Arabidopsis thaliana: one gene and its partners. The protein of the gene in region 1 interacts with the protein of each later gene in a pairwise test. Each region holds a gene or a part of one and is shown on either strand. Other genes may lie near its edges.

Region 1 (8,457 bases):
TTACTTGGTCTCTAAGGTGAGCCTCTGTATCTGTCTTTGACTTCCACCAGAGAAGACCCAACACGACGGCCACACCAAGTGATTGAACTAGCCTTAGCTTATCAAAGTAATCTCTACGCCGCTCTCTGAATGTTCTTCTTGAAAGAATCAAGAACTGATCCCACCATGAAAGAGTCCAGTCCTTCTTCACTTGGATTGCTATTTGAAGATGCTCTGGGGCCTTTCTATTTCTATGATTTTCTTCCTTCTCTTTTGGCTCCAAGTCTGTCTTGTACCTTTGTTTCAAGTACTGCAAACCATGAACACTAGAATTGAGTCCCATGAACAGTAGAATAGGCTATGACTTAATGTGATCCTTACTTTGAGTAAAACTTCCTCAGAATCAGGCTGTGCAGTTTTGGCAGCCAATAGTTCGTCGGGTAGACTAATGTCTGAAACTTGTCCGGTTGCCAAGTCTAGCAAGAACTCTGCTGGGTTCATTGCAATCTCAGGTAAGATTCTCAAAGATGAGAAATACTCCATAGATTCTCTGGCTTTGCCGTAAAAGGCAGGGTGTCCTTCTGATATCAGTAAGAGCTTGTCAAACATGTGAAACATTCTGCTTGATGGTTGGTGAATTGTCGTTATAACGGTCCTGCCTGCCTGAAAAAGACAAACTGAATCTTATTCTACTGTATCTTTCAAGAACTTTGTTAGTAATCTATTTGCATGTAACTAGAAACTGATACCTTAGCTACTCCTTGAAGAATATGAAGAAGTTTGGTGGCAGAAGTGGAGTCAAGTCCAGAAGTTGGCTCGTCTAGAAGCAACAGAGAAGGATCTACGAGAATCTCATAAGCTATACTTGCTCTTTTTCTTTCTCCACCTGATATTCCCTTGACAAAACCTCCTCCAACTCTTGTCCGACGGCATCTTTCATTGTGTTTTTCAATAAATCTTAGTTTAGTGTTTACAAGAAATGTGTCTGGACATCACCAAGAACATGCTTGAAGAAAGTCTACGAGCTAGGTCTCACTATAAGCTGGAAATATTCAAGAAGTGTACCTTTCGAGGCCGAGCTCTTTGATGATCATCTCTATTTTGGCGTATTTTTGTTCCTTGCTCATGCTACTTGGAAGTCTTAAAAACGCAGCAAATGCCAAGGTCTCTTCCACAGTAAGTTGTGGCAACAGAACATCGTCTTGCGTCACAAAGCCAATTCTGGAAAACAGGGAAAGATCAGCACATAATAGTATGATTCAGGTAGGAGAAAATATCCAACTCACCTCCTCTTAACAGATGGACTGTAAGGAATGTCATTATAGGTAAGCTTCCCCTTGACATTATCTGTCAATCTTCCTCCCATTATCTTCAGAAGAGTTGTTTTGCCACTACCCGAAGGCCCCATTAGCGCAAGGATTTCGCCAGGACCTGTGCTTCCTGTTATGCCTTTCAAAATGTGCTTGTATCCATCTGGATCCGGATTTGTATGTGTTACCACCTTTGACACCATTGTTTTCACCAGGTTTGCTGAGCTAGCATGACTGTTTCTCACCTTATACTCCACATCTTCAAACTGCATATAAATAAAAGAGGCGAAACCAATAAGCTTTGTCTTAATGAAGGAAAATCGAAAGCAAAAGAGAAAGTTGAACCTTGAGAAAGATGGGAAGAGGGGCATCTTCGAGAGGATAAGTGGAAACGAACTCTTCATCAATGTCAATCTCGGATGAGTATTGGTTTCTGAGGTAAGCTTGTGGCATGAACTCCATGTTGTGAACTATGCCATTGCTTCCTGTAATCTGCATTACATGATTCTCTTCAACTTCTTCTGTTGATCTTCTGATCTCCATGTTATCTTTCTTATTCTTGTTCCACAAGAAAATTGTTATGAATGTAGGCTTGTGTTATATAACGGAAGAAGTGTGTGGATCAACTGTGTCAAACCTGAAACTTTCTTGCTTTTTGTGTTCTCTTTTTCTCTCTGTTTATCAGGGTGTTAGTTTGGTAGACCACATTCTTTCAATGTTTTTGTATTAAATTGAATGCATTTGTTGACTTGAACAAGGAGCAAATGAAACTATATTAATTTCAATATACTTTATATGGTACTAAAATCATTTACATTTATCGACTTGGCTTGCTCATTGACGATCACAACGTACGAGAATAAATGTCCACTTGCTCATATAAACTGATCACTTGATTATATTGTAAGATTCGGAAGAATTACAGATAAACGAGATCAAAGCGGTTTGTGGCACTCACAAAAATTGAAAAAACAAAAGGCACCAATTCTCTTGTCCCCTTGCCAAATACTAATCTTCTTCTTGGGGGGTGATGTATCCTAAGTATGTACACAAAATCACTCAAAATTCCAGACTTAAACATCTCGTACCAATCTGAATATGCATCTTTCTAGTAATACTCCTTGACCTAGTAGTTGTTTCCCAGATTTGTTCGTGCAGCTTGAGGTTGCTGATTAGTTACGTGCGATGGTCCTATGGGTTCAGTCCTCGCAGATATAGATAGAGGCGCCAGTATTGGCTGTGTTTGTTGATATAACCCACGGATCCCAGCCTGCATGGTTGGGAAAGCTATAGGCTGACCTTGAAGGGATAAGTTGTACATGGGACTGGCCTGCAGATTGGCTAGACTCTGCTACATGGAGCCGTGTTAAAAAACTATAGCATAACATGCAATGACAGTGGGGAGAGTCAGAGAAAAACTAACCAGTGGTCCAGTTGTGTACATGTTTTCCTTCTTTTCTTCCTTGTGAGTAGCATTTATGGTGGCTGCTGATGGGATGTGGTTGAAGGCGTATGAAGTATATGAGAATGGAATCGTGGTAGGTGGAGAGTTTCCAATGTCGCTTCCGGGTTTGATGTGAGTGAGAGGTAGTTCAGCCCCTGGAGGTGCTGGAGCATCATCTCCGGGTGGTAAGTAAGACTGTTGTTGGAACCCATTTGGGCTCAAGTACTGGTGAATGTATGGTTGCGGCATATAATAAGGGGGGAAATATGGACCATAAGGGAAATAGTTAAGAGAGTATTGTTGCCTATAAAGGTGCATTGCCTGTTGAGCGGCTGCTAAGGAATACTGATCAGGATAGGAGATAGGTGGAGCATCACACTTTGCAGCCTGCAATTATCAACAAAATATAAAAGACAGTGATTAAGCATTGTGTTCATATTTCCTGGCTAGAAAAACCACGCGGTTGGCCTGATGCTGACAATGAATGCACAAGACTAAAAAGACATTGTGTGGGGCTTCTTGATAATAACCAACCTGATGAGTGTCTGTGATTGGTAAAACCTCGTTCTTTACTTTATCTCCTTCTGAACCTTCTTCAGGGAGAACAGTTTGATCTGGCTGCAATGTTAACTCGTTCTGAGCTGCTGAATTTGAAATCTCATGATTCTTATCCTGAGAAAAAGTTGATATATCTTTCCTGCAAACCAAGTTTCATATAAAGGTATTCATATCAGAAACTCATTCATCTGAGACTCTAGATCAATTCATGAGAATATTGAAGCAAGTAACACTGTAAGATTTACTCAAAGTAGCTATTAGTCACCAACCTAGCTGATGCGGCTGTCCCATGAGAAGACTCAATATTGGAGTCATCACACCCAATAGTAAACTTGTCAGAAGATGCCTCTCTCACAAAATTAGAATCGAAGCTCCCAAATGTCAGACCATTTTCCAGCATTTTGGCAACCTGAATGTGGACAGGAAATGTTACGTGCGGCCGTTCACCAACATCCGACTTGAGAAGCGACTCATTCTTGCATTTACTGGCTGCAACCTCACTCTTAATGACTGTTCCAAATAAAGCCATACGTCGAATCACATAAGAGGCTGTAATCAAACTCAGGAACAACTTAACAGAATACAGAATGCACTTAAAGCAACATTAGCAGGCAAGTAATTATATGGTATAATTTATACCTCGCTCGGACTGTTGTGGGATCTGAAAAGTTTCAACTACAGCATATTGAGTATCGTTTTCTACAACAGAATCTGATACAGCCACTGATACACTACTTTCTTTAGACTTATCCGGCTCAACAACATCCTTAGAAGAAGAAGTAGCCTTGGAGAGAGGCTGTTCCTCTGTGTCCACCTTGTCCACAGGGGATATGATAGCATCTTGAATTTTCTGGTTACTGATTCCACTTGGAAGACTTATAGGGTTCGGGGCCCTGAAAAAGAATAGAATGCGTTAGGAAGCCCATATCCAAAGAGGGAATTAAAGACATAGACAGAATTAAAAGTATGGATACATTATGGAAGAAGGTTTTGTGTCGTTTCTTGCATTGTTAGGAGCAGACGAAGCAGTTCCAGAACCTCCTATTATGTGATTAGCTCCACTCTGCTTTTTAAAAGCTGCACTTCTTCCATTACTGGCATCTGAATCAACAAAGAGCTTGAATCAAGGAAGGAAATATAGAACACAAGTTTAGAAGTAAAAGAACATAAACCACAATGACCTGTGTAACTTGAAGCAAAGTTCTTCCGTCCAGTCCGGCCCCTTCCTTGTGTATTTGGCACTAAATTCTACAACAGGTAATACACATAAAGGCATAAGAGAAACGAGATGATGTAAGCTAAACAGAGAACTCAAGACCACACTTAAAATGCAAAGTAAGGATTCAAAAGAACATAGGAAAGCTACCTCTTTCTTTCTCTCCCGTTTGCTTCTCACCTCATGAAATGTATCTGAAAGATCAGTAATAATATATGAGTACATGTCTGCTATCAAAGTACATGATTATGTTGATCTTGAAACAGTAGACAGAATCAAAACTTAACCCAGATGCCCAATCTCAATCAAAGCTAAACAGAAATTCCCTTTCCACATTCCAGCTAGATTGGTAAAGATTTAAAACGACAGTTTCTTAGTCATGAACCCAAATTCTACATATTCCATTTCAGTAAAAAAGATTCCTTATTTGAACATCCCCAGACATATTATACCAATTAGAAATCTAAATAAACAAAACATAAGATTCTAAGCATAACACACAGATTCTAAGACAAGACCAAAATCGACAAAGGGCATTAAATAGCAAAATCCAAAACAAAACCCTAGGAGAAGCACACGCTCAATACAACAAAAAGGAAGTAAAAACACTAAAACAAAAACAAATGCTGAAGCTTTCTCAGTAAAACAACCTAAATAGAGAAGCTTCTGAGTGGTCTCATGTGGATCACTGAAACACTCCTTAAAGACAGAGAAGATATCCTCGTCGGAATGTTGTTTACCGGTAACCTCTCTGATGTTTTGAATGGTTTGAAGCAGATCAGCCGGAATAGAAACCCTAGAGCCGCCATCGCCGCTGATCCTGCTCATGTTGGTTACAGAGAGAAAGAGAAGCGGAGGGAGGAGGAGAGAGGAAATATGGGTTGAACATAAAGACTTCGTATATAGTACTATTATTTATTTCCGTACAATCTACCGCTTAATGTCTCTCTCTACGTATATTTATACGCTGACGTCACTGTTTATCAATTTCCTCCTCATTATTTGATTGAGTACTATTATTTATTTCCGTACAATCTACCGCTTAATGTCTCTCTCTACGTATATTTATACGCTGACGTCACTGTTTATCGATTTCCTCCTCATTATTTGATTGTTTTGTACGCGTTTAATGGAAGGAGAGACAACAAAGTTGATATGGCCGAGTTGGTCTAAGGCGCCAGATTAAGGTTCTGGTCCGAAAGGGCGTGGGTTCAAATCCCACTGTCAACAATTTACTTTTTTTTTTTTTGTCTTTTTACAAGAATAGGAAAAATAGACAGCTGTGTAAAAAAATATTAACTTTGTTTTGTTTCCACAAGTCGATGTCCAAATTTAAGAATATATATATATTACACGATTTAGCTATCTCCTCTAATTAGATGAAGAGACATCAGATCTTATCAAAACCCTAGCTTTCGGTGTCTCTCTCGATCCTTTAGCTCAATCGAAAACTGAATTTAGGAGCTGCGATGGGTTCCAGATCTCGTAATGATAATTTCCAGTCCGGCGATGGCGCTAGTCCTGGGTACGTTTACTTCTCCTACCTCTTGCATGTTTGATTCCACAGGATTAAGGGAAATATCTCATAATCTGTTGGCTTTGTAACTCTTTTTATATTGTTGGTTAAGGTTTAATTTATGTTTTGCTTGGAATTTTTGTGTTGCAGGAAAATATTCATTGGAGGATTGCACAAAGACACGACTAATAGTAAGTTTCTTCCTCTTGTTTTGTTCTAGAAATTGCGTTTCTAAGTTTTGTTATGTTATGGATTCTTGTGTGTGTTTCTGATGTTAGACCTGTTGGAATGTTGATTCTACTTGCTCACTTTGGTTTTGATTGCAGCTGTGTTCAATAAGCACTTTGGCAAGTACGGGGAGATTACAGATTCTGTCATTATGCGAGATCGACATACTGGACAACCTAGGGGTTTCGGTTTCATCACCTTCGCTGACCCTTCTGTTGTTGACAAAGTTATCGAAGATACTCATGTCATCAATGGCAAACAGGTCGGCCACTTCTCTTTTCTTCCTTCACTAGCTTATAGTGTTCATTTTTAGTAGGGTGTTGGGTCTTGATCAATACTTTTTTCCTTGTTTTGATGGAACAGGTTGAGATCAAAAGGACTATTCCGAAAGGTGCTGGTGGCAATCAGTCAAAGGACATCAAAACAAAGAAGATTTTCGTTGGTGGTATACCCTCAACGGTTACAGAAGGTAGACCTCCCTCTTGGCATGATATTTTTTTGCTTTCCATGAGAATGCTGGTTTCCTGTCCTTATTGAAGTTGGTTTCTTTTTCTGTTGATCAGATGAACTTAAGGACTTCTTTGCCAAGTATGGGAACGTGGTGGAGCACCAGGTTATTCGAGACCATGAAACAAACAGGTCCAGAGGTTTTGGTTTTGTAATTTTTGATAGCGAAGAAGTCGTAGATGAATTATTGTCCAAAGGAAACATGATCGATATGGCAGACACTCAGGTAAGCTTGTACAAATGGGGATTAGAATTTTGGTTCATGATGACATATTTATCTTGGTTTCAATTTGATATTTTCTCCTTGTTCCTTTCATTATACACGTTTAACTTAGTTAGAATTCTACCCACTAGCTTACCAAATGTAAGGAGCTTGTCACAGTAAGATAGGAAATCCCTGCTATAGTTTGGGTCCTTAGCATAGCTAGGTTAATTAAGTTGCTTTGTTGTAGGTGGAGATCAAGAAAGCTGAACCAAAGAAATCTCTAAACCGTTCACCTCCTTCTTACGGTAGTCACCCTAGAGGTCGTTCTTCTAACGATAGTTATGCAAGTTATGGTGGACCTTACGGAGGTTTTGATGGAGGGTATGGTCATCCTCCAGGTCCCATTAGGTCACATGGAGGTCCTGCTAGTAGATATGCTGGGGGATATGGGTATGGTCGTGGCAGTGTAGGCCCTGAATTTGGAGGAGGTTATAATAATTATGGGGGTGGTAGTTTAGGAGGTTACCGGAATGAACCACCCCTTGGCTATTCTAGTCGTTTTGGACCCTATGGGAGTGGGTTTGGTGGTGAGGGATATGGCCGTGGAGGAGAAGGAGCCTATTTGGGATATCCTCGTGGAGGAGGGGAAGGCTATGGGGGATATGGTGGGCCTGGTTACGGCGGTGCATATGAATCTGGTGGCCCAGGTGGCAGTTATGAAGGAGCAGGTGGTCCATATGGGAGGGGTTATAGTAGCAGTAGTCGATACCATCCGTATGCAAGGTAGGGTCGAGGTAATAGCAATCAGTTGGAGCTATAGAAGCTTCTCTCACAGGTTCCTCTAGATTGTTCCAATTGCTCTAGGTGCATTCTAGAGTTATCATGTAGCGCCAACATCAGGAAGGGTTGCTAAGGACAGGAAGAGCATCAAAAAGCTTTTATTAGTCATCTTTTAGTTGTGTGTTTACCTAATTTAAGTGTTGTCTTATCTCTATAACTTAGATTGTGTTATGTAGACTTTAGCATATTTGGGCTTGGAGTTTGTTTCTCACTGGCACAAGAATGATTTATCATTTGGTAGTCTTGTTAGATGATCAATTACTCGCTTAGCTTAGTTTTCACAATCATACGAATTAGCTTAAGAAGCTCTGCAAAATGTGCACTCATCTATTCTTTAGAGCTCAAGTTGAATGCTTTATGTGGTCTCTTGTATCTCTGTACATTTTGTTGTGCTGAACAAAGGTTTGACGGCAGTTAGTGCATGTGTAAGTAGGCATATTTTTGTCAGCTGCATACGTAGGTTCTAGCTACAAATTGGAATTGTATGTGTTTGAAAACGTAAAATCAATTATAAATGTTTTTGAAAATCATCTATACAAGCATGGTTATTTGGTTCTTGTTTCCTTATTTTTTCGGGTAAGGGCCACGGATAATTGGTTAGACATTGGTTCTAATAATGTGGGTTTTGTTATCTGTAATTTCTCGTCAAAATGA
Region 2 (8,062 bases), 3.9 Mb from region 1:
TACATGTATGTATATGAGTCTCTTATTTGATCACCATAGCAAGCATACAGTATCATTCATTGATGATTAAGTACGTACCTGGGGAATGGATTGTTCTTGACTGCTTTTTGGCCGTACTTCCTCCACCTGTATCCATCATCCAGTATATCAACCTGGCTTCTTGTCTGGAACGCGTACCTCGCTTCTCTCTCTTTCTTCTTCTTCTTACTCCTTGGCTTCTCTTCGGATGATGTTGTCGGCTGAGCAGAGTTGTCGACCCCATGAAACTCTGTCAAGCGAGGATCAACCGATGATGAACATGGAAACAACACATCACACCTCCTATCCTCCATTTCTTAACTCCCTCTGCGTTTATGGTGGGAACTTGAAAAAAGCCAAGGAGGGGAGGGAGAGAAAGAGAGACGTACACGGTAGCGAAGATGCCAGAGAAAGTGATATATATTGAAAATATGGCTACATTAGCGGATCCATCACAGAAAAAGAGTTTTGTGGAAACAAAAAGGTGTGGCGGCTACATCATTCTGATTTATATTATTATATATGCAACTCCTTCAAATTTTGGTTCAATGGATTCAAATTTCAAACATATTTCTTGGTCAAGAATCAATATGCATCTAGATCTCTGAGGTAATCATTCTTTTCTTATTTGATTTACAATTTGGATTAGCAAGGTTTCCAAGATAATATCCAATATCACGTGTATTTGAGGTTCACCTACCAAACTTGATTGAATTCAATAAACAATGAGCTCGAATGATGTTGAGATTGTTGACTATTTTGGCTCTTTGCTTTCTTCTATACTTGTCAAAAGTATATAATCATTGATTCCATGGATTATTCATCCCTCCATAGTTATTCAAACTTGATTCATATTCACTTTTTACACACAACATAGAATTATAATAATACTAGGCATTGATCACATGTAGGATTTGAGACGGGGTCGCGTAAGGGACTGCGCTCCATCCACCAAGACAGTGGTGCCTGTCATGAAGCGTGAGCCATCGCTGATCAAGTAGATAACAGTGGAGTAGAGGTCTGTGTCCGGGTTGAGCCACTGGCCGAGGGGTGCAGCGTCCTTGACCAGCTTCTGCGCTCGGTCTCTTCCCACAGAAGCTGTATACTCATCATCCAGATGCAGCCCTCTAGAGATCATGTTGACCCGTATCTTGTGCTTCCCGAGACTCATGGCTGATGCCTGAAACCCAATCATCAACAAACATATTCAAGTTACGAACGCGATGTGTCTAATTAGGAGCTAGGATGCATACCCGGACGAGCTGGTGAATAGCGGCAGAAGTTGAAGCGTAGGCATCAGCGCCAGGGTAAAGCGCCCTCTCTCCGCTGGCGATAGTGGCCATGAAGACAATGGAGCCTCCTGATCCATGGTCCTTCATCCTTGTGGCTACAGCCTTCAAGAGAAACCATGGAGCGGTGAGATTGATCTTTGTGATTCTGTGGAACTCATCTTGAGAGACTTGAAGAATGTCCTGCACCTTTCCTGCAAGAAAGAAAGATTGTTGAATAAAGGAATGATCAACACACAAGAGCATCAAAGGCAGGGTAGTGAAAAACAAGAAGCAAATTAAACCTTGGTAGGTATAAGAGTTGAGAAAAGCATCGAAATGGCCGGAAAGTTCCCATGCCTTTTGGACAGCGGCATGAAAAGCAACTTCAGAGTCAGATTCCATGTCGAGTGCTATAACATCGGCAGGGAAGGCTCCCTCAATGGAATCTCTAATCTTGTCTACAATGCTCCTTAGGGAACCCTCATTTCCCATCATTACCAACCTAGCAACAGTACATTGCATTTTTTGAAGGTTAACTATAGACACCAAAGTCAACCACAACACAAATCGGGGCTAGAAGAAGAAACACAGGATAGGAGGAAAGAAGACAAAATGAGAGACTCACTTGCAACCGTGTTTGGCTAGATGGAAAGCGATGTTTCGGGACACCTCGTCGCCGTTGGATGTCATCAACACTCTCTTCGCCGGATTTTCCATTTTGCCAAAGTAACTCTTTATAAAACAATTCAGCAGATTCAACAAGACTTAAGGGAGGGAGGGAGTGAGATTGATTCGATCGCCAATTCTAAATAACTATAAAGAGTGGCTGCAAAAGCTCTTACCGGAACTGTGTCTGTGTGTTACCAAAACGGCGAAACAAAGCAAATAATTAATGCCTAACCACATGATCCACCACGTTCTGTTGTTACCTTCTTTAATTTGTAGATAGAAGAAGATGGTGATTGATAACGGAGATGTATTTTTTTCTTTAATAAAAAGCCCACTTCAAGGCCCAGATCCATTTCTGTACTTTGTAGGTTTTCCAACTTTCCCGGCGCCGGAAGCAAGCGTAAGTTATCACTGTTCCCCAACCAAATTCCATCATATCCTATTATCCTACTACTAATGGATCCATCTCCAAGATTCCTAATTTCACTTTGCTACAAACTTATTTCGTGTTTTTGGTTTATAATTAATAGCCGTTGTTGGTTATGAATATGTAAGCATAAAAGGCATTTGGGAGCTCCAGACAGACAATGAATCATCAACATCAGGTACTCTGTCTTTCGTTTATGTTTCTGTTCCATTCTTTTGAAATATATAGAGGAGGAACTTGTTATTAGCTAGTCCATTGATCAACACACAAAGAGTGAGAATGAAAGCAATTCCTCCAACCAAAAGGATGCTTTCCCTTATTGATTTAGTTGGACCAATATATAAAGAGAACAAAGGAGGGTGTTGGTAGGTAACAAAAGATTCTAGGTGGTGGGAGGGTAGTGGATTTTTGAAAACCGTGTGTTGACTTAATGAAAGAGGTGTAGAGTAATGGGATTGTGAGAGTGTTAAATAATAAAAGACTAGGATACGAAATCATTGTGACATGTCAATTTTTCAAGTGGGTGGTGGAATCCGCAACAAAATATAAAATAAGAAAAATGCTTTGCTTGCTTGCTTGCTCTACTTTGCCTTCTTTTTGCAACCAACATGACGTTATGCTGGAAAGGAATCAAATTGTTACTTGGTCATGCACCTGTGAACGTTACGGAGAGGTCTACCTCAAGATAACGAATGATCTATTATACTAGTAAATACCACATCTTGCTTGAGAAGGAGAATATAATCCCCTTTATGATCATCAAATTGACCCCAAATCTTCACCCGACTTTTGGTAGTATTCGAACAATTATAACAGAATCTAAAAGTTGCTGTGCCCGTGCCACGTCATCTCTAAGAATCTTTAGTGGCACGTGCTCGATCAACTAATGAAAACAAGGTTCGGTTCCGGTGGCCTACCATTTTTATCCTCCTTCAACTTCCCTCTCCCTCTCTCTTTTAGGAATTTTCCTCAGAAATTGGAGGACTCACACTCTTCTGGGTTTCTGCTGCAGCCAAATCACCAAGGAGATACATACTACAACCATGGATGATGATGAATATGCCAAGCTCATCAGGAGAATGAATCCTCCCAGGTTTTTCTCTTTCTCTCCATACTCTTTTATTGTTTTCTAGGTCCTCTGTTTCTCCATGCTCCGTTTGTGAGCCTCTATACCCTTGTAAAGATTCCAGCTGCTAAAACATTCATCTTTATTTATGTATGTTTCATGGTGGATACAGAGTTGTAATAGACAACAACGCAAGCGACGATGCCACTGTTATTCAGGTAAATAAATCTGTCTCTTCAAATTGTTCAAGTGGTTCTGTACCAAACAAAGAGATTTTGAGAAAACAGAGTTCCCTGTTTGTTTGTGGTGCTAAATAAAAGGTTGATAGTGTGAACAAACATGGGACTCTATTGGAAGTAGTACAAGTGCTCACTGATATGAATCTTGTGATCAAGAAAGCTTACATCTCTTCCGATGGAGGTTGGTTCATGGACGTTTTCAAAGTCATCGACCAAGATGGCAATAAGATCAGAGACACTCAAGTCCTTGACTATATCCAAAAGGTTTCTAATGTATTTCATCACTTTTTTTCTTTCATTTTCAACAGGTTTTTTTCTTTGTGTAAAACGTTTGTTGAATTCATTGCGCAGAGGATAGAGAGCAACGCTGGGTGGTTCATTCCACCTTTGAGAAGCTCAGTTGGTGTAATGCCCACTGACGAATACACATCCATTGAGCTCGCTGGAACTGACAGACCCGGTCTCTTGTCTGAAGTATCTGCTGTTCTCACAGACCTTCACTGCAACGTTGTGAACGCTGAGATATGGACTCACAACACCAGAGCTGCAGCGGTTATTCATGTCACGGACAATTCAACTCATTCTGCCATTACTGACCCGATTCGCCTTTCCACCATCAAGGAGCTGCTGTGCAATGTAGTGAGGACAAACAGCGGCTCAAGAGCTGCGAAAACAGTCTTCTCTTGTTCTGATACACACAGGGAGAGACGGTTGCATCAGATCATGTTTGATGATAGGGACTACGAGGGAGTCAAAAGAGCAAGGACATCGGCGTCAAGGCCCAGTGTCACACTAATGAACATTGAGAAGGATTATACCGTTGTTACCATGAGGTCCAAAGATAGACCAAAGCTTGTGTTTGACGTAGTCTGTACTTTGACTGATATGCAGTATGTGGTGTTCCATGGCATGGTCAGCACAGAACCAGTGGAGGCTTATCAGGTAACTACTCAACGGCCGTCTGTTGGGATCTCTCTTCTAACAATAATATGAGTGTTTTGCTGCAGGAATTTTACATCCGTCATGTGGATGGACTTCCCATAAACTCAGAAGCAGAGCAAGAACGTGTCATACAATGTCTGGAAGCAGCCATTGAGAGGAGAGCATCGGAGGTAACCAATTAGGAATGTGAAAATTCTCTGTCTTGGCTCAAATTACATTCTGTTCTGCATCGATTTCTGATATACTCAAGACAGATTGTGCATATGAAACATACTTTCAGGGTTTAGAGCTGGAATTATCAGCAGAAGACCGAGTTGGTCTTCTCTCAGACATAACCAGAACATTCCGAGAGAACAGCTTAACCATTGTGAGAGCAGAGATATCAACGCGAGAGGGTAAGGCTAAAGACACGTTCTACGTTACAGACGTGACTGGAAACCCGGTTGAATCAAAAATCGTGGAGTCAATCAGACAACAGATAGGAGTAAGCAAGCTGAAGGTGAAGAAGAAGGAGAAGGAGCATTGCTCTGTTCTTGGTACAAGCAGGCCTTCGCACGAAACAACTACAATGGGGTATTTGCTAAGTAACATCTTCAAACCCAAGTAGCTTCAAGCTTCACCTATCTCACTCATAGTCATAGAGTGTGTGTGTGCTTTGTATAGGTTAGACAGAGTAGGGCATCATTTAAGCTGATCGTAGCGATCCCCTCTCAACAAGTCCCTTGTGTGTAAATTTGTGTGAACAAAATAACAGGAACTGCCTTTGAATAGATACGGCGTCAGTTAATACCGTTGATTAATGGATCCAGGGGACATTAATAAAGATGCAAAGTGTTTACTATTATGATTTAATGAGAGCATTCGAAAGATCAATAAGAGATGAAGAAGAGGAAGACAGAGAAAGGTGAGCTTAAAACAACTCTCTCTCTAATTACAAACTATAATCTAAAACCTGTCATTACAGCCATTGACTAGTTTCCTAATCTTCCTCCACCACATTCTCTTACAAGAAAACTTCAAATAGAAAAGAAAAAAGAAAGCAGAGGAAGGGATCAGAGCCAGAGAGCGCCGGCGTCTTTGAGAAGAGGAACGAGAGAGCCGTTTATGTGAGAAGCCATGACTCTGTCCATAGCTCCAACCAGTTTACCGCCGATGAAGACGACCGGGAGAGACCCTGGAGAAGAGGAGCCGGAGCAGCCGAGGAGACGAATGAGGGCTCGCTGGATGTCGCCGCCGTAGGGGTGGAGGTCGAGCTCGTGGACGGCGGGGCTGACGCCCATTCCTCTGAAGAGACCCTTCACGGCGTGGCACATGCAGCACGTGCTCACGCTGAAGATCACCACCGCGCTCTCAGAAGCCAGGGACTCTATACGAAGCAGACCAGTGTCAGCCACCATCCCCAAACCGCCGAATCCTAAGCTGCTCATCTTGTATGATCCCCACGATTCTGTCTGGTATTGCATCTTTGATATCTCTTCTCTTTCTCTTGTTACACTTTTGTTTGGAAAGAAACTAGATTAAACACGAATAAGAGAGAAAGAGGGATTGGCTAAAGTTTGTTGGTGAGAAGAGAGTGAGAGCCATGCAGAGTATTTATAGAGGCCTACTACACCTCTGAGTCTAACTCTGTTTTCCTCTAATTATTAGTATTATTGTTTCTTTCTTTATTATTTGTGTATAATAACATGACCTCTATTTACTTCTCCATGAAAAAAAGAAAAAAAGTAACAAAACATATGAATTAAAACCGATGACATCAAGATAGTGATTGCTGTTGAAAACAAACACCGATAATAGTTATCGGAATAATTTCATTTTTTTGTAAAAAAAAAAAAAAAGGCAAGGAGAGTTGAAGAACAGGCTTTTATCAGAAGGGAGTTGTTGGTAATAGACGGCTCCGTCTGTCCTTCTTGTCGGCTCTTACCGCTCTCACCATTAATTTTCTTACCACTTAATTCTCTCTTTTTCTTTCTTTGTATTTTCAGATACATGATCATAAAGTAAGAAACCATAATTTCCACGTAGATAAGCTCCCTCAATCTGTACAATATGGATTTTGGCAGGGTTTTTCTTTTATTCCATTCTACTCTGTAAAATATATAATTCCATACGACCGAGTAATCATCAATCCAGCAAATGTGTAATCATCACATCATAATTTGTTAAGGAGTCAGAATCTTATGTTTCTTATCCAGATTAATAGCATCCTCCTTATATATATAGAAAAAGAATTATGACTCGAGAATTATGATGTGTACATATTTTATAAGAACAGCACCCATGAATTAATTTGGATGGGTTTAATTATAACAATATTAAAATTTGAACAATTTTATATAGAAAAAGCCTTTTTTTTTTTTCTTCAAAGTTTACAAAGTTTGTAGTTTGTGACATGCTTTTGGCTTCCACGCTTGTGTCCTTTATACACGAAATGCCTTTTTTGTGTGTCTCAGGTTTGAGCTCCACAATAAATTAAATCTTAAAATGAGATTTAAAACGAAGGATTGATGGAAGAGAAGATTTTATATGTATATTGAATATAGTAAGAGAAGTCCGTACAGTTATGCTCCCTCTAGCTGAAAAAGAAAGTTACTTCTTTTAGTGTTTAAACTCATGTATTTCTTTTCTGGAAAAAAATCTTTGCATGAGAAATCGTAAAAGATAAATAATCTTGTCGGATTGTGGTTGTCGGATCGCTTTACCTTTGATTTTTGATTTTTTTTTTAAAAATCTAGTTTTCCTGACAGAAGACTTACGTAACACTTGTCATACAATGTTTGATCTGTTCAACCGATTCTCCGATATTAACCCTTTCGAGTAGCGTATGTACATGCTTTTCAATAAGGGTATTTTGAACATTTCTGAAGTTCGTATTCAACGCCTGAAACTTGAAACTTTGAACATTCCTTATTCCTTTGTATATTGATCTAGCTCTTTTCTGTTTTTGGCTTTTTTTTTTATTCTTCAAAGTTTAAATATGTATATACAAGGCTAACATTATACAAAACTTTAAAAATCTTTCGTTTTATGATTATCAATAAAAAGATGATTTTCTTCTTGTAAAAAAAAACATTTTAGAGAGAAAAAGAAAAAAAAAAAAGAGATTTTGATCGATCGGACGGGTAGGGTTAGATGGCAGGAAACGAGAGCCCTCTGGCCTATATTAATTAGTACAACAAAATATATAAATTGATATCAAAATAAAAAATAGAAAGAATACGAGCGTGATGCTATCTTTTCAGCTTTATCTGGTCTTTGCCATTTATAAATATCTGTGTGTATGTCTCTCTTTGCACAATATTAATGTTGTGCTTTGTTATAAATATATCTTCATTTCATATTTTTATATTTTCAAATTTCGTTTTTTTTTTACCTCTTACGGTGAAACAAAGCCGATAGGGAGATGAAAGGTGGGGTTTGAACTAAACCC
Region 3 (7,141 bases), on another chromosome or scaffold:
GTAGAAGTGTTGAAACGGGCCAAATCCGTGGGCCAAACTCAAGTTGTTCCGCATGTGTTTAAGATTCAGTTAAGAACAAAACTCGAGGATCAGTCTATGGTTGGTTTCGATTTTCGACAACTAATCATGTAGTCCATTTATTTTCCAATTCAAAATTTTAAACGCACAAGGACCAAAACTCACACATCTTAATTCCAAAATATGTTAGATTCCTATTTCTAACACGTTATTATTATCTTTTCTTATAGTAAAGAAAGAGATGTAAATTAAAGATCATTTCTATATATACATGCAAAATCGAGCATATTTTTAGCACATAACGATTATTCAGAAAAAATGGCAATACTAACCGACACGACTTGTAGCCTAGTGGTTAGTGCAATTGATGATGTCGTTATGTGGCAACCTGATTCCAACTTACACATGCTGACATGCATTCTTATATATTGATCCTAAGTTCCTAACCCATAAAGTTTGAATACACGTGATATGCACGTTAAATAATTGGTATTTCTTTGAGAGTAGAGGTGCCAGTCTTCTCCTCCTCTTCTAAGATCAGAAACCTAATCATATACGCAAGTGTTTTTGAGCAATATATATTAGAACATAGCTTAAGCCCAACAACAACATAAAATTGGATAAATAGGTATTCTTGATTAGAGAAACCGATGTATCCAATCTTGAGTGTGTCCACTCAATCTTACTAAGTGTGCCCACTAGTAATTGATGAATTTGACAAAAGAGTGAAACCAATTTATTACCATTTTTATTCGATCCTTAACAATTTCTTAAAAGAATTAATATTGTTCCATTCAACTTTTAAGATTAAATATTCCAATAATTGTCATTGTCCACCAAAAACTATGAGGTTCGCTAAAAAGATATTTTTCCTTGGATACGTATAATGCATATGTACGTTGTATGCATGTGGGACTCAAGATATATGTATTTATGCATATGTTTGTAGATGAATAAATTTTAAAACCATATAATGTGATTACACATGAACGCATGTACGTGTATGCATGTGAGACTCTACTATATACAGATGTATTTATGTGTATGTTTGTAGATTGAATGGTAATAATGGAAATGGACCAATTGGTCCCTTAGGATGTGAAATTTCATGTTCACATGGCAAATTGGTTAGTGGCTAGTAGTGGCCCTTGTGACAGTCTATCGTCCGTAATCTGCGTCTCTATAGGTATACACACATCCATCGCTTCTGTCATTTTATCTCATGTATTGAAATTTCATATGATTTTCAAATATGTACTATAAATTTTTACAATATTTAGATAATGTTAGATATTGGCTCATAAGAGAAAATAGATTAGGCAGAGCGAATCAAACAGTTTAATAGGATCAAGTCGAACAATACAAATCATGTGATTTTGGCGAAACAAGTGCATATCAACCGGTTCTTACAGTCCAAAAAAATTTTAAATGGTGAAAGAAGTTTAAGTCATACGTATCAAATATTTATATTACAAACACCCTATTTTATATAAATAATTTTACCAAATTTATACAAATTATATGAAATTAAATTTTGCTAATTTATAGAATATTATACCGATTAAAATAATTATACACATTATTTAGTATTTTAGATATAAAAGAATAACACATAATGTTAACAATTATAACCATAAAATAAGTGCAGATGAATTAAGCTATCTACTGTATTAACCTAAAAGTTCATGTTGACAAAACAAAATACATAATCTTCTGACTTATTTCAAAAATTAGAAGTATTGAGCTAAAAAAAAACATCACAACCAAAGCAAATAAGCAGTGTATTTACTGTACAAGGCAGATCACAAAATCAAAACAAAATACCATTTGAAAACAATTTTGACCCATGAAAAATGAAAAAGCTCAAAAATCTCAAAAAAAAAAAGACAATAGACTAAGTGAAGCAAATGATTAAAATCGATGATGCAAATGGAGGACTAGTTATCCAAATTAATTTTCTTTTCTTACTTTCTTTTAAAGCTGCTTGTTCTCTTCATATGCATGAATTGTAAATTATTTGTGGTACGTCCGTTTTGCTTTTGAACCTTCTTTAAACTAGTTATCCATCAAACAAATTGTAGCAGTTTTAATTATAGGTATGATTTCAGTTGGGATCTTTCTATTTTGTTGGATTCTTAGGTTTAAGAAGTATACATATTGAATAAAAACATAATCTAGTTTGGTTAGGATGAATTTCTCAGATTTGAAAATTAGTAAATAAAATTTAATATTAACAAACTTGATGTCATCATTTAGACCAAAGCCGAAGCACATGAGTACACAATCTTTGTTTTTGATAATTACGTCAAATATGTTAAGATTTTTTTGCTTTCTTTTTTTTCAAGATATACTCAATTATAACAATATTTAAAAACATGAGAAATAATGATTTTTTTTGTTTTTTAAACAATAAAATCACTCGTTTACATTGTCACAATAAAATTAGCCGTTACACAAATTTATTCGGGTTGTTATTTTTTTTTCTTTTCATAAGTGGATATTGTCTTAATGAAAATTCATATAATTTTTTAACCCCATAATACTATTTTGATAATAGTTGACTTCATATACTTATAACTCTTTTTTTTAGTTAAATTATTTTTTCAATTTTATAATCCAACGACCCATCCAATATGTTATAGCCTAATAGGACGTATTCTGTAGCTAGATTTCAAATACAAAACTTTTTGTGAAAAGATTTGGTGTAGTTTATTGCATTTGTTTTAGAGAAAAAAAAATATTAAGTTCTTTAAAAACACACATAAATTGGGCTTTATAAATAAACAACCATAAATAATAAAACATAATCCAATTTTATAAAAAAAAAGTTTTTAAAAAAAAATGTAGTTATTACTTCTATGAATTTTTTTATTTATAATATACTCATCCAAATTATGCAAAACCTCAAGCTAATCTTTACAAAATAAAATATTTAAACAAAATGTAAATATTCTCTCTTCCAACGAGGATAACATTTTTTTAAACCAAAAAAAAAAAACGAGGATAACATTAAACAGAACATCAACAAACAATACGATAAGATTTGGGCTTACAATCTTTATCACAAAGGCTTTTTTAAAGCCCATTAGTTACATTCATCATTATCTCTCGACATTAAAAAAAAAAAGTTAAACTGAAGAAGCTAAAAAGAGTTTTTAACTTTTAACTCTCTTCGTCTTCTCCCTCGTGCCGTGTCAAATCAATCTACTGTTCTCTCTCCTATCTGGTAAACTTTTCCTCTTCGCCATGAAATTTTTTTCTTGCTAGGGTTTTAGTTTCTACAGTTCGCTTCCCAAAAATTAGGGGTTTTGTCACAATTTCTCAATTTCTTGTTCCATTTTTCTTCTTTTCTCCATAATCATTGCTTAATTTAGAATCCCAAATTTTACAAATTAGGGTTTTTGTTTAATTTTAGGGGTTTTTGATTTTCAACTGTTAATAGTGTTCTCGATGTCATAATTCTGATTTTTTTTATTATCTATTCCGAAATTAGGGCAAAAATCTCAGACAAACCTGCAAAATTAGGGTATTTGAGGATATGGATTATGATCGGTACAAGTTATTTGTTGGTGGTATTGCGAAAGAGACAAGTGAAGAAGCTCTGAAGCAGTATTTTAGCAGATATGGAGCTGTGTTGGAAGCTGTTGTAGCTAAAGAGAAAGTCACTGGAAAACCTAGAGGTTTTGGGTTTGTTCGCTTTGCTAATGATTGTGATGTTGTTAAAGCTCTTAGAGACACTCACTTCATTCTCGGTAAACCCGTAAGTGTTACCGCCTTTTTATGCTTGTGTCAATTGGGTTTTGTGTATACTCTGTGGATTGATTATGTGTGTGTTTGTATTAGGTTGATGTGAGAAAGGCGATTAGGAAACATGAACTATACCAACAGCCGTTTAGCATGCAGTTTTTGGAGAGAAAAGTGCAACAGATGAATGGTGGTTTGCGTGAGATGTCGAGTAATGGTGTGACCAGTAGGACTAAGAAGATATTTGTTGGGGGTTTGTCGTCTAACACGACTGAGGAAGAGTTTAAGAGTTACTTTGAGAGGTTTGGTAGGACTACTGATGTAGTTGTGATGCATGACGGTGTGACTAACAGGCCAAGGGGTTTTGGGTTTGTTACTTATGATTCGGAGGACTCTGTTGAGGTTGTTATGCAGAGTAATTTCCATGAGTTGAGTGATAAACGCGTGGAAGTGAAACGGGCAATACCTAAAGAAGGAATCCAGAGCAATAACGGTAATGCTGTTAATATTCCTCCTTCCTACAGCAGCTTTCAAGCAACACCTTATGTCCCTGAGCAAAACGGATATGGGATGGTTTTACAGTTTCCTCCTCCTGTCTTTGGTTATCATCACAATGTCCAAGCCGTTCAATATCCTTATGGTTACCAATTCACAGCACAAGTGGCTAACGTTTCATGGAACAATCCGATTATGCAACCCACCGGTTTTTACTGTGCTCCTCCTCATCCTACTCCTCCTCCCACCAACAATCTTGGTTATATCCAATACATGAACGGGTTTGATCTTTCGGGTACGAACATTTCCGGGTACAATCCTCTAGCATGGCCTGTAACGGGGGATGCAGCTGGTGCGCTAATACATCAGTTTGTAGATTTGAAGCTTGATGTCCACAGTCAAGCCCATCAGAGAATGAATGGAGGTAACATGGGAATACCATTGCAGAATGGTACATATATATGACAGTTGCAGAATGATAAATGCAAATAGGCTCACAAGGGTAGTGAAATTCTTTGGACTCTTTTAAATGGTTTTTTAGGTTCCTCATCTTTCTTCATTAACTCTTTGGTAAATGTGTTGGGTTGGTTTGGTTACCTTGTATATTGTTTAGGTATTTGATTTTAACCCCAAGACTTATGTATCATATATTACTGCATTTGTAATATATCACACTCATTTAGTTCATTTTGTTGCTTTTATGGTTTTGTTGATTTTGTGGTTTCGTTGATTAAATTGGCAATGATGTTTTAAATTCATCAAGGAAAACAAAGAAATAGATTGTCGATTAAACAGTAGAAAAAGGAAATAGTTTTGTAGAAATAGGAACTGAATCTGGAAATCTCTAAGAATACCATATTGTAGAAAGAAAATAAATCTGAGACGGGAGAAACTATCGAGCATCCTTGAGCTTTAAGTTGGAGAAACCGGGTAAGCGTTTGTGGGATTTTGTTGTAAGATTGAACGCACAGATGTCCAGGGATGAACTTTCGAAGTGACAGACCCGATCATGGCGGGTGAAATAGATGGAGTTTGGATTGAAAGTTACAATCCAGTGAACTATGTAAAAGAGCTTTTGGACGTAGATGGTGTGTGGTGTGGTAGAATCAAAGGGCTTTCAAACTTATTTATTTTCTGTATTTGTGGGCTTCGATAACAAGAGGGAAACTCAATGCCATGAAGACATATGTGGTACAAAACCAAGTGAGAGAAGTCATGGTTAATATTATTTAGCAAAAATACAAAGTCATGGTTAAAATCTTTATTTAATTTGTTTGAGACAAATTGTGGAGAATTAGTTTTCAAGAATCTATTAACCATTATAAAATGTTTCAATTTTTTTTTTATGTAAATGTCTTTACTTTTCTTTTTGTTAGGCAATGCAACAAATCATGAAATCGAACGTAATGTGTGGTTGGCAGCACCTAAGTTACCGTTGAGTGTTGTTGACAAAAGAGAAAATTTAAATTTATATTACCATATTCTGAGAGATCATGTTCAATTACACTACCATATTACTCATACTTTTCTTTGTGTCTTCATTAATTTACGGTTATATTTATGAAATTGGTGTTAATGCCAAACATAGTATATTCACGTGATAGACCATTTTGTTACCATGTCATTGGTAAGAAATAACAGTTAAATTTCGTTATCGTTCCAACTAATATCAAAGTAATAACTAATTCGAGATTTCATATATAGAACCTAACAACTGTTGTTTGAAAGAGTTATTTTTAGAAGTCCAACAAATCGAAACCATGTATATATGTGCACATGTCTTTGAATGTAAAACGCAAGCCAATCTCGAGCAGAAAAGTTACAAACTAAAGAAGAAGATGAAGCTTCAAATTCTATTGCTTGCTTTGGTTTTAATCGCTGTTGAAGCGAATGCAGTCAAGCAAGGGATAAACGCAACGATCCCAGCGCTAATAGTTTTTGGAGATTCAATAATGGATACAGGAAATAACAATAATCTTCCGACTCTTCTTAAATGTAACTTTCCTCCATATGGTAAAGATTATCCTGGAGGCGACGCCACTGGAAGATTTTCTGATGGAAGAGTTCCTTCTGATCTTATTGGTAACTATTTGAATTAACTTTTATATTTTTCAAAATTATAAATCATATCTATTTATATATATAATCTGATAAATATGTTATCAAATATTTCAGCGGAAAAGTTGGGATTGGCTAAGACATTACCAGCATATATGAATTCATATTTGAAGCCTGAGGATCTTCTTAAAGGTGTAACATTTGCATCTCGAGGAACTGGTTATGATCCATTGACAGCAAAAATTATGGTACCATATATCTTATGTTTTTCCATCACGACTGTTAGTTGTTTTTATGGGTGATTCCTTTTTGTTACATTTATGTTTATTTTTGTAGTCAGTGATATCGGTATGGGATCAACTCATATATTTCAAAGAATATATATCAAAGATCAAGAGGCATTTCGGAGAAGAAAAAGCCAAAGATATCTTGGAACATAGTTTCTTTCTTGTGGTGTCTAGTAGCAATGACCTTGCTCACACTTATTTAGCTCAAGCTCATAGATATGACCGTACCTCTTATGCCAATTTCTTGGCTGACTCTGCTGTCCATTTCGTGAGAGTAAGTATTTTATTCGTAGTTATATATAATAATACATAAACTAATCAATAATATATTGTTATATCCACTAACTATTTTATCTTATCTATAACTGATAATTAGGAATTACATAAGCTTGGAGCTCGAAAAATTGGAGTGTTTAGTGCAGTCCCCGTTGGTTGTGTTCCATTACAAAGAACAGTTTTTGGAGGTTTTTTTACAAGAGGATGTAATGAACCTCTAAACAACATGGCAAAACAATTCAACGCAAGACTTTCTCCAGCAT
Region 4 (8,203 bases), on another chromosome or scaffold:
TAATTCTCAGGCTCAGCCACAGTTGAATCGTTGAATGGTACAGTGTCCAAAACAGAAGAAGATCGTTTCAGCTTCCTCGGAGTCTTGTCTACTCCGAATCTACCACCTAAAGACAAACCAAGATTGAGCTCAATCGTACTCTCATCATCGCAGTTTGTTTCTCCGCCGTGAAAGACTCTTCCACCGCCGTTTTCAGACATGAAACCTCGTAACAGATCTCTCGGGTATTTATCTATGTCTAGAGAAAGATTTGTCGTAACCGTCATTTCTCTGTTCCATGCCCTTTGTTGTCTGCTTGCTTCACCCATAGATTCCGAAACAATAGAAAGAAAGAAAAAAAAAGTTTTTTGTTTTGTTTCTTCTTTGTTATAAGATGATGAAGAAGAATGAAAAACTCTGAATTTCACATCCGATCAAAAATCCAAAATTGTCATCATGAATTAAACAGTAAATCTCGCAAATTCATATCAAAGTAAAAAAAAAAAAAAAACTCGCCGGAGTTAATACCAGAGACGGCGAAGAAGACGAAGAGGTTATAATTGAAAGTGAAGAGCAGAGACAAAGAAGAAGACCCTTTTGGACATTAGAGGAAAAGAGAGAGAAGAAGAAAGAAAGAAAGAAAGAGAGACAGGCCTTGACTGAGAGGAGGCAAGTGGCCGCCGAGAGAGCTGCCTGAACGACACGTGGCCGGTGGATTACGTCGGCGTTCCATAGTGCTGCTTCAAGAAACGTGTCGTAAAGTGACTGAGTTATCCAGTGTCACGACACGTGTCTCCCAAGTAAAAAGATCCGTTTTCTCCTTTTTCCCCTTTTCTTTTTAATTTTTTTGCACAAGTTTTTGTAAAAGAGAAAAAAAAAAATCTCAAACTCGAAAAAAAAAAATATTACCTCAAAAATTAACAAAATCAGACATAAACGTATATAGAGAGTAAGAAAATGACAGACCTGATTAGTGATTACTTATGGTATCGTTGATTTATAATTTTACAATCTCTTGTAATCTTATTTATATTGGGAGAGTTAACAACAACATAATTTGAATATGATAAATCTAGCGACTCGACAACGTCACTCACGTGGGTTAGACCAAAGGACCCACGAAGCAAGCAAGTTGCTTGTGAAAAAGTGAAGGGAGAATAAAAACACTTCCATGTAAAAGTAATTGAATACTACTACTACACAAAGGCAATCATCAATAAACCATAGTATATAAACTAAAAGACTTAACAATGATAATATAAAGTAATTAACAAGGTAAAGTTTGATTATTGGCGACTAATCGTTTGATGGAGAAGAGTTTAGATTAGCATAATGAGCAATATAACTTAGTGAAAAAGTCTGATTATTATTGATTCAGTGACAGTTAGGTTTGAGAATGAAATCTATAAATCGAAAAGAAGATTTTTAGAATCCTTGGTGGGTCACTTTGTTGAGTCAAGTGGGGACGTCAAGATCTTTACACCATAAAAACCAAAAATGCTACGTGTTCGTCACCTGTTGGTTTGTGTAATAATGCAAACTTAGAGAATACTACAATACGTCGTCGTTTGAAGACCAACACCATTCACATCAAGCCCATAAGTTTAAGGGTTCGTTGCCCATTTGTTTTTTTCACTAGAAAATATTTTATTCGGTTTGGTCCTAAAAGATGTCTCAATCAATTGACAACGAACTTCCGATTAATTTTGGTTATGTGTAAACCGGACCAAATGAAGATGATTCAGAATGGAAGGTAAAAGTAATCATCAAATTTTTGTTATCCCAAACAAAATCTCAAAGAAGGGATTATCACCTAAGAGATAAACCTACTCCAAAAGAACTTCTAATCTCTCTCTCTCCCTCTCACTATCTCTTCCTATAAAACCTCAATTTCAAATGAACAACAATAACACAACAGAGTTTAACAAATGACTTCAAACTTGTTTAGCCTCTGGATTGAGTATTTTAACGGCTAGCTTCTACCGTACCGTTCTGATGAACTTTGCCATCACCATTGTGAGCCTCACCATTGCGTGATTCACCCCGTCTCTCAGATCCATTTCTTCCATAGCCTCGACCTCCATTGGAACCGTTGCCTCGAGGCCTATACCCATCGTTTCTGTAACCGTTGTCGTTCCTATAACCTCCGTTTCGCATTGCGGGTCTTCCATTATCGTTGTTGCCTGCAACGGAACCAATGGTTTCAGTTTTTCTACCCTGAAGTTGGAGACATTAGTACTAAACTTTACTTTGACTTACCTCGTTTCTCTTCTATTGAAACTCTTCGGTTTCCGATTCTGATGGCTGATTCTTTGTGAGCCTAGAGTTGTGTAGTAGAACATCAAAAGAAGAATCCAGTTTATAACCAAAAAGTTTGTAAGAAATATCGTTGATGTTGAAACATACCTGGAGGACCAATTTCACAGCTTCAGCAGATGCGAATGTCACAAAGCCAAAACAGTTTCCCTTGAGCTGCAAAAGAAAAACTTAATGAGGATTTCAAAAAAATTGGCTGTGAAACAAGTTTCTTCAAAAGATCCATTCAATAAACAACTCACCCTGTAACTTCTCACTTGGATACCATCTTTCGTAATAGCTCCAAAACCTTTGAATGTTTCATTTAGTTGCTCTGGTGTAGCGTCCATGAGCAAGTTGGCAACAAATATCGTATAACCCTCAGCTGATACACGAAAAATGGTAAAATCATATTAAGACATAGAAAAAGGTGAAAGAAAATCAGTTTTTCTGAAATGTTAAAACATTGATTTAAAACCTTGTTGGTCGATTGTTGCAGCAGAAGAGTGTTCAGAAACAGGAGCAGGAGCTTTGGATTCACGAGCAGCACTCGGCTTTGTAACAGGCTTAGACTTAGGCTTTGCAGGAGAAGCTTTGGCATTGAATGTAGCACCGTTTTGAGCCAAATCTTGGACCTAAGGGTAAGTTGCAAAATATTTAGATTATATGAGCAAAGATTAGGCTATAGAATAGGATTTCACACAAAAAAGAGGACTCACAATATGTGCAAATGATTTCTTGGGAGCATCAACACCATTGCTTTTATCGTTCACAACATTATCCTCCTGTGTTTTGGGATGTCCATTTGCTACAGCTCTTTCTGGTTTCTTCACTGTATTTTCGGTTGTCTGTTTCGCCTCGGGTTGTTGGGTAGGGATAGTAACCGGCTCTGCAACTTCATCTACCTGCTCTGTTGGTTGGACCACTTGAGGAATAACCTCCTCGACTTCTTTCTTGTTAGCTTCTGGTTCAACAATCTCATCAGCAACATACCTAAAGACATCGTTGAGAACGAAATAGCTTCCATTCAGCGGCACAAGGAAAAACGATTGAGAAAATCTCATTCTTTGCCCCTCTTTCACGGTTAGTAAACCTGTGACTAGAGTCACAACTCCATTCATGTAAGATGCTTGGGAATCAGCAGTCAAAATCTGAATCTTTGAGATTTCGTAATCGAAGGACATAATCTGCTCATTGATAGCCTGCAAAACAAGATTAAACAACTCTTAAAAACGAAACTTTGCTTCCAATAACAAGATTTACATATGTTTGAACACAAAAAGCAACTCCATCCAATAGCTTACTTTCAAGGATTTGACAGAAACCATCTCTCCATCAGAACCAGGACGGCCTAAAACACTATCGTCGAGATAAAACTGATGCACTTGCGATGGTGACTTATACAAGAGGTTGTAGTATTTCTCAACAAAAGAATTGCCAATAGTGTTTGGGTCCACCACTGGAGCATTTGATTCAAGTGCCATCTCTACCTAGATTCAAGAGATTATCACTAAGGTCAGATATATAATCAAACAAATGTCTCGAAATTAAAACATACTCATATGGATGAACCACAAGTAGTGATTTTAGTCTCACATTGCCATTCAAATCAACACTAAGGAATCCACAAATCTCATTAGATCTCTTATAGCTTTAACAAGAGATTTATTTGGTGACTTAAGCGACTTGCAAGTTGAGAATCTATAAATTGAATATACGTTAGAACTACATAGATCTCTATACAGCTACTAGATATTGGAAGAATGTGAAAAGATTAAGCTTTTACAGAGGATTCCAACAGAAAGGAAAAGACTTTTAAGACAGAACATGAAACCCAAATTGAAGAACTACAAATATCAATCAAACAATTGATAACAGTAAGAAAATTGGTGTATGAACTATGAACGAAAGCGATACCTTGGGAGAAGATGAGAAGAGAAGCAGAATCAAAAATCTCAGATCAGTTCGAAGAGAAGACAGAGTAAGACACAGGGAGAGGGAGGGATGAATATATTTGTATTATAATATATATAATGGTTAGTTCTAGGGTTTTACTTAGAAATCTCCGACGAGGAGAAATTGGGATTGTTGTAGCCTTGTATTGTAGGGCTTTCTTCAAGATTTTTACACTAAAATTATACTACTATTATTATTTATGGTAAGGAGGGAAGTTTTCCTTGAATTGTTTGTTTTTGATGATTATGTATATTGTTGAGTTATGGAAAGTTGTGGCTAAGAAGAATTGTATTCTAATTTCATAAAAAAGAAAGAGATATAAAAAAGAGTGAGTAAAAGAAGCCCCCGGCGAGGATCGAACTCGCGGCCTTTCGCTTACGAAGCGAACGCAATACCACTATGCTACGGAGGCCTTTTTGGAATGCTTGTTCAGTATAACATTATATAATAAAACAACAAATTATGACTTTTTATTTAAGGCTCATTGCAATAAAATATATACTTCATAAGACTCAAACTTGTGTATATTATTTAATCGTGAATTTGAGATCAAAATTTGTTATAGAATGATTTGTTTTGAAATAAAACAGATTAAGCCCCACAAAAAACATATTTTCTTCCTACGAAGCTTGATGTGCTGATTTAAGAGTTCCCCTATTATCGGCCCAATAAAGAACTAGTGGATATGCATGGTTCGAGGAACCCATGAATCGTTTTTTTTTTTTTTTAAATGTCTGCTTGCCCTCTGAGCCACCAAATACACAACTAAGCATAGATAACAAATTTGCTTACAAAAATCTTTAATTAAGAAGTTAGAGTGTATTATTTTATAAAAATGGAGCCAAAGCAATTAAGGTGAGATAAGTTTGAACAGTACATACTTCTACCATATATCAAGAAATGTTTCACGAAACTTTTCTGAGTATAATTTTATCTCTAAGATAAAGCTATATGATTATAAATCAAAATGTTAAGTTGAAAAATGTTTGAACAACGTATACGAAGTTGTATTATTTTGGTTTATTTTAATGTTATAGTCTAGATTTTTATTTCCTTAAATTTGTGTCTCCTTTTTATTTCTTGAAAATGTATGCTCATGCATGTTTTTGATTACTTGGAAAATGTAATTATATGTAAAGTCTTTTTTAACCTCACAGTTAATGGAAAGCATCAACCTTTGGATATAAAATATAAAAAAAGAAATTCTATGAAACAAAAAAAATATCATCAATCGACACATGCATGTGCATATATTTATAGATATTTTTTTTTTCGGTGCATATATTTATAGATCCATATCAATCTTGAGGGAAAAAAAAGATCCATATCCAAATCCAAATGGAATATCAGTGTGCAATTTTCGTTAGGAAAATATTTGATTTAATAAAAAAAGAAATTCCCAATCCATATCCTTAGCCATATACCAAACAAGGGGAAGAGTTGATGACAAGAGAATGAGATCACTCTAGTTATGTTTGAACCGAACTAGAAGTCTTTTTGCTAGTTGAGAGTGTAACTACATGAAGTCTAGTTGTTGAGACATTGACATGATTGGTCTCTCAATTTCCACTTCCTTTCTTATTTGTTCAAACATATCTATTCTTATGCTTTACTGTAAAAAATCTATTATAGACCTACAAACAAAACAGTTGTCTATAGTGAAAATACTCCTGATGTTATGTCTTTTTCAATAAAAAAAAATATATATATAACATGCTCTTTTAACTAAGTCTGTCAGAGTTCAGAGTTCCCAAAAGTCATAAATGTAGTTCTTTACATAAGTATTTAATTATTGGTCAAAGTCTATCAACTACTTCTATTAGTTTCAAAAACTTTATCAACTTTTTTTATTAGTTAAAATACACATAAATTAAATGTTTATTATTATTAATGCAATATTTCCTATTATAAATATCTAAAATGATAAAGATAAATCTAAGAAAACTAAAATATGATAATATATAATTTGAAATTATGTCTATTTATATTTGAATGATATTTATACAAAAACAAATCTCAAATTAAATTGTGAAACTATCAAACAAATATGAGTAATAGGTTATAAGAGGGATAATTGTCATACATTGAAAAACAAATTGTATTCATTAAGATCTATTTCAACATGAAGTATGATAGATTCAAACTAAAAAAAAATGTTACATAATTTCTCGAACTATTTAACGAAAATGTTGGTGTAGTACAAATAACTTAAAAATTCATGTAGTATCATAGAGGTGGTTATGATGTTACAAACAAATCCGTAATATTCATTTGATATAATGTATGTTCAATCAAAACACTCAAACATGATAAATTTCTCATAAACTAATTCATAATGTAGTTGTATTCATACTTTATGTTACATGAATTCATTTGATTAAAAATATTTCAGGCTAATGTATTTTAAAAAGGAGTCATAACTACATTTCTATGTATTATTTAGAAAATATAGTTGTAATTGTGTATATGTAGGTATGATTTTTGAGATGAAATAAATGAATACTTTATGTTTTGATTTTGCTACTTCTTGTTATCACTTTTCTGAAACTATTTCACACTACTTGTTTAAACTATTTTATGCTTATATTTGTAGAAGAGAGAGTTGTGATTGTATTTCTATGTTGTTATTGTTCAAAGTCTACCAAAATACTTCAATTCGTTTAAAAACTTTTATCAGATATTTGTTTTCGGCGACAAAAAAATATGATACACTATTTTGCTATATAATGCTACAATTCTAATTAAACTACTTAACGTTATAAACTTTAAACTACTTTACGCTTTCCTTTCAAAAACAGAATCGTAATCAAACATTTCAAAATAAAAATAGGTTGACTAGTTTGTAAAAACTATTAAATATGATTACTCCATGGTCGGGGTCGTTTTTTATTATATATTCTCTAATCAAACTATTTCACACTGCATAATGTATTTGCTTAAAATTATTTCATGCTCTTCTTATAAAATAAATATCGTAATTTCTATGAATTTATCAGTGAAAGTCTACTAGGTATTTCAACTACTTTCAAAATTATTATCAAATATTTATTATTTGGTGACAAATTAATATCATGAATTGATTTTGCTATATATTACTACAAGTCTACAACTCTAATCAACCTATTTTAAGCTATAAAACTACATCTAATTAAACTACGCAATGCTTTAAAAAAAAAAATTGTAACTGCACATTTCTATGTAGTCATGTATTTTAATAGACTACCATGGTCTGGCTTTAGGACGATCATAGATCATAAATTTTGTCTAATAATATCACAATATTATGGAATTGCAAATGTCAAGAATGAGAGTATTTCGGACTATAATGATTGTGATATTATTAGACAAAATATAGGTTGATCGAAATATTATGAGTGAGATCCTTTTTATTAAATTTACAGTATTGGAAAATGGTCTCCAAAATCTTGTTTTTTCAGAATTAAGTTATAGATAAATTATACGAAATCAAATAATAATACGAAAATGTAAAAATTCTAGTAAACGGTTGTTCTCTATTTCTATTACTAGTTTAGTTACTATCGATACAACTATAGTAAATGTGAAAGGGTTCGCTGTCAAATAAAGATACTGATAAAATACGAAAACAGTAGAAACTAGCTGAACGAAGCAGGCCTAAGCCTAACAGTAGACCATGTACATTCACAGAGCTTTACGTGTATACTAATGTCAGCTTTCTACTACACTTGCTCTCTGTATTTTCATAATCATCACTGCCCTTTGTCTCCCCCTTAATTATTTTTATTATTTTCTTCTCTACGTAAATAAATCCTAGTACAAGTATTTATTAGTTTATTTATTTCTCTTGTACAACTTGTAAACCAAAAAAATGAAATAAAAAGAGCACAGTGATTTGCAAAAAAATTACAAGGACCACGCAGGCTTCTAAAGTTAAAATCACACGGCAAAGATTTTCTTCTTCAATTATGATACTGATATTGACTTCACTATTGAT

What was found.
Region 2: the proteins of GIP1 (region 1) and ACR6 interact in a two-hybrid assay, tested with the Arabidopsis thaliana proteins (one large-scale study listed by BioGRID).
Region 3: the proteins of GIP1 (region 1) and RBP1 interact in a two-hybrid assay, tested with the Arabidopsis thaliana proteins (one large-scale study listed by BioGRID).
Region 4: the proteins of GIP1 (region 1) and AT1G13730 interact in a two-hybrid assay, tested with the Arabidopsis thaliana proteins (one large-scale study listed by BioGRID).

Annotation. Positions count from the first base shown.
Region 1 is NC_003074.8:4,248,872-4,257,328, forward strand, and holds GIP1 (GBF-interacting protein 1), read right to left. Parts: upstream 5,408-8,457; 5' UTR 5,336-5,407; coding exon 5,158-5,335; intron 4,702-5,157; coding exon 4,658-4,701; intron 4,540-4,657; coding exon 4,473-4,539; intron 4,393-4,472; coding exon 4,266-4,392; intron 4,185-4,265; coding exon 3,931-4,184; intron 3,802-3,930; coding exon 3,561-3,801; intron 3,431-3,560; coding exon 3,268-3,430; intron 3,121-3,267; coding exon 2,713-3,120; intron 2,638-2,712; coding exon 2,416-2,637; 3' UTR 2,087-2,415; downstream 1-2,086. Other genes in the region: ABCG26 (ABC-2 type transporter family protein), read right to left, coding at 5-289, 361-642, 729-912, 1,045-1,200, 1,266-1,555, 1,635-1,832; AT3G13224 (RNA-binding (RRM/RBD/RNP motifs) family protein), read left to right, coding at 5,977-6,032, 6,174-6,214, 6,350-6,513, 6,615-6,720, 6,815-6,984, 7,211-7,750. UniProt on the Arabidopsis thaliana protein: Plant specific protein that enhances G-box-binding factor (GBF) DNA binding activity. May function as a nuclear chaperone or lever and regulate the multimeric state of GBFs. May contribute to bZIP-mediated gene regulation.
Region 2 is NC_003074.8:326,828-334,889, forward strand, and holds ACR6 (ACT domain repeat 6), read left to right. Parts: upstream 1-3,271; coding exon 3,272-3,282; intron 3,283-3,309; exon of another isoform or gene 3,310-3,397; coding exon 3,398-3,478; intron 3,479-3,623; coding exon 3,624-3,669; intron 3,670-3,771; coding exon 3,772-3,954; intron 3,955-4,041; coding exon 4,042-4,632; coding exon of another isoform or gene 4,633-4,683; exon of another isoform or gene 4,684-4,697; coding exon 4,698-4,802; coding exon of another isoform or gene 4,803-4,814; exon of another isoform or gene 4,815-4,886; coding exon of another isoform or gene 4,887-4,912; coding exon 4,913-5,239; 3' UTR 5,240-5,295; coding exon of another isoform or gene 5,296-5,326; 3' UTR 5,327-5,684; coding exon of another isoform or gene 5,685-6,095; 3' UTR 6,096-6,235; downstream 6,236-8,062. Other genes in the region: WRKY45 (WRKY DNA-binding protein 45), read right to left, coding at 79-332; AT3G01980 (NAD(P)-binding Rossmann-fold superfamily protein), read right to left, coding at 920-1,198, 1,272-1,791, 1,915-2,006; ROXY1 (Thioredoxin superfamily protein), read right to left, coding at 5,685-6,095. UniProt on the Arabidopsis thaliana protein: May bind amino acids.
Region 3 is NC_003070.9:21,723,818-21,730,958, forward strand, and holds RBP1 (RNA-binding protein 1), read left to right. Parts: upstream 1-3,145; 5' UTR 3,146-3,244; exon of another isoform or gene 3,245-3,511; 5' UTR 3,512-3,556; coding exon 3,557-3,778; intron 3,779-3,861; coding exon 3,862-4,722; 3' UTR 4,723-4,985; downstream 4,986-7,141. Other genes in the region: AT1G58525 (GDSL-like lipase/acylhydrolase superfamily protein), read left to right, coding at 6,096-6,339, 6,433-6,563, 6,652-6,876, 6,979-7,141. UniProt on the Arabidopsis thaliana protein: RNA binding protein. Can also bind in vitro to single-stranded DNA.
Region 4 is NC_003070.9:4,706,074-4,714,276, reverse strand, and holds AT1G13730 (Nuclear transport factor 2 (NTF2) family protein with RNA binding (RRM-RBD-RNP motifs) domain-containing protein), read right to left. Parts: upstream 4,521-8,203; 5' UTR 4,192-4,520; intron 4,061-4,191; exon of another isoform or gene 3,871-4,060; intron 3,765-3,870; 5' UTR 3,759-3,764; coding exon 3,579-3,758; intron 3,477-3,578; coding exon 2,994-3,476; intron 2,910-2,993; coding exon 2,753-2,909; intron 2,660-2,752; coding exon 2,538-2,659; intron 2,452-2,537; coding exon 2,386-2,451; intron 2,300-2,385; coding exon 2,239-2,299; intron 2,163-2,238; coding exon 1,945-2,162; 3' UTR 1,605-1,944; downstream 1-1,604. Other genes in the region: AFP2 (ABI five binding protein 2), read right to left, coding at 1-308.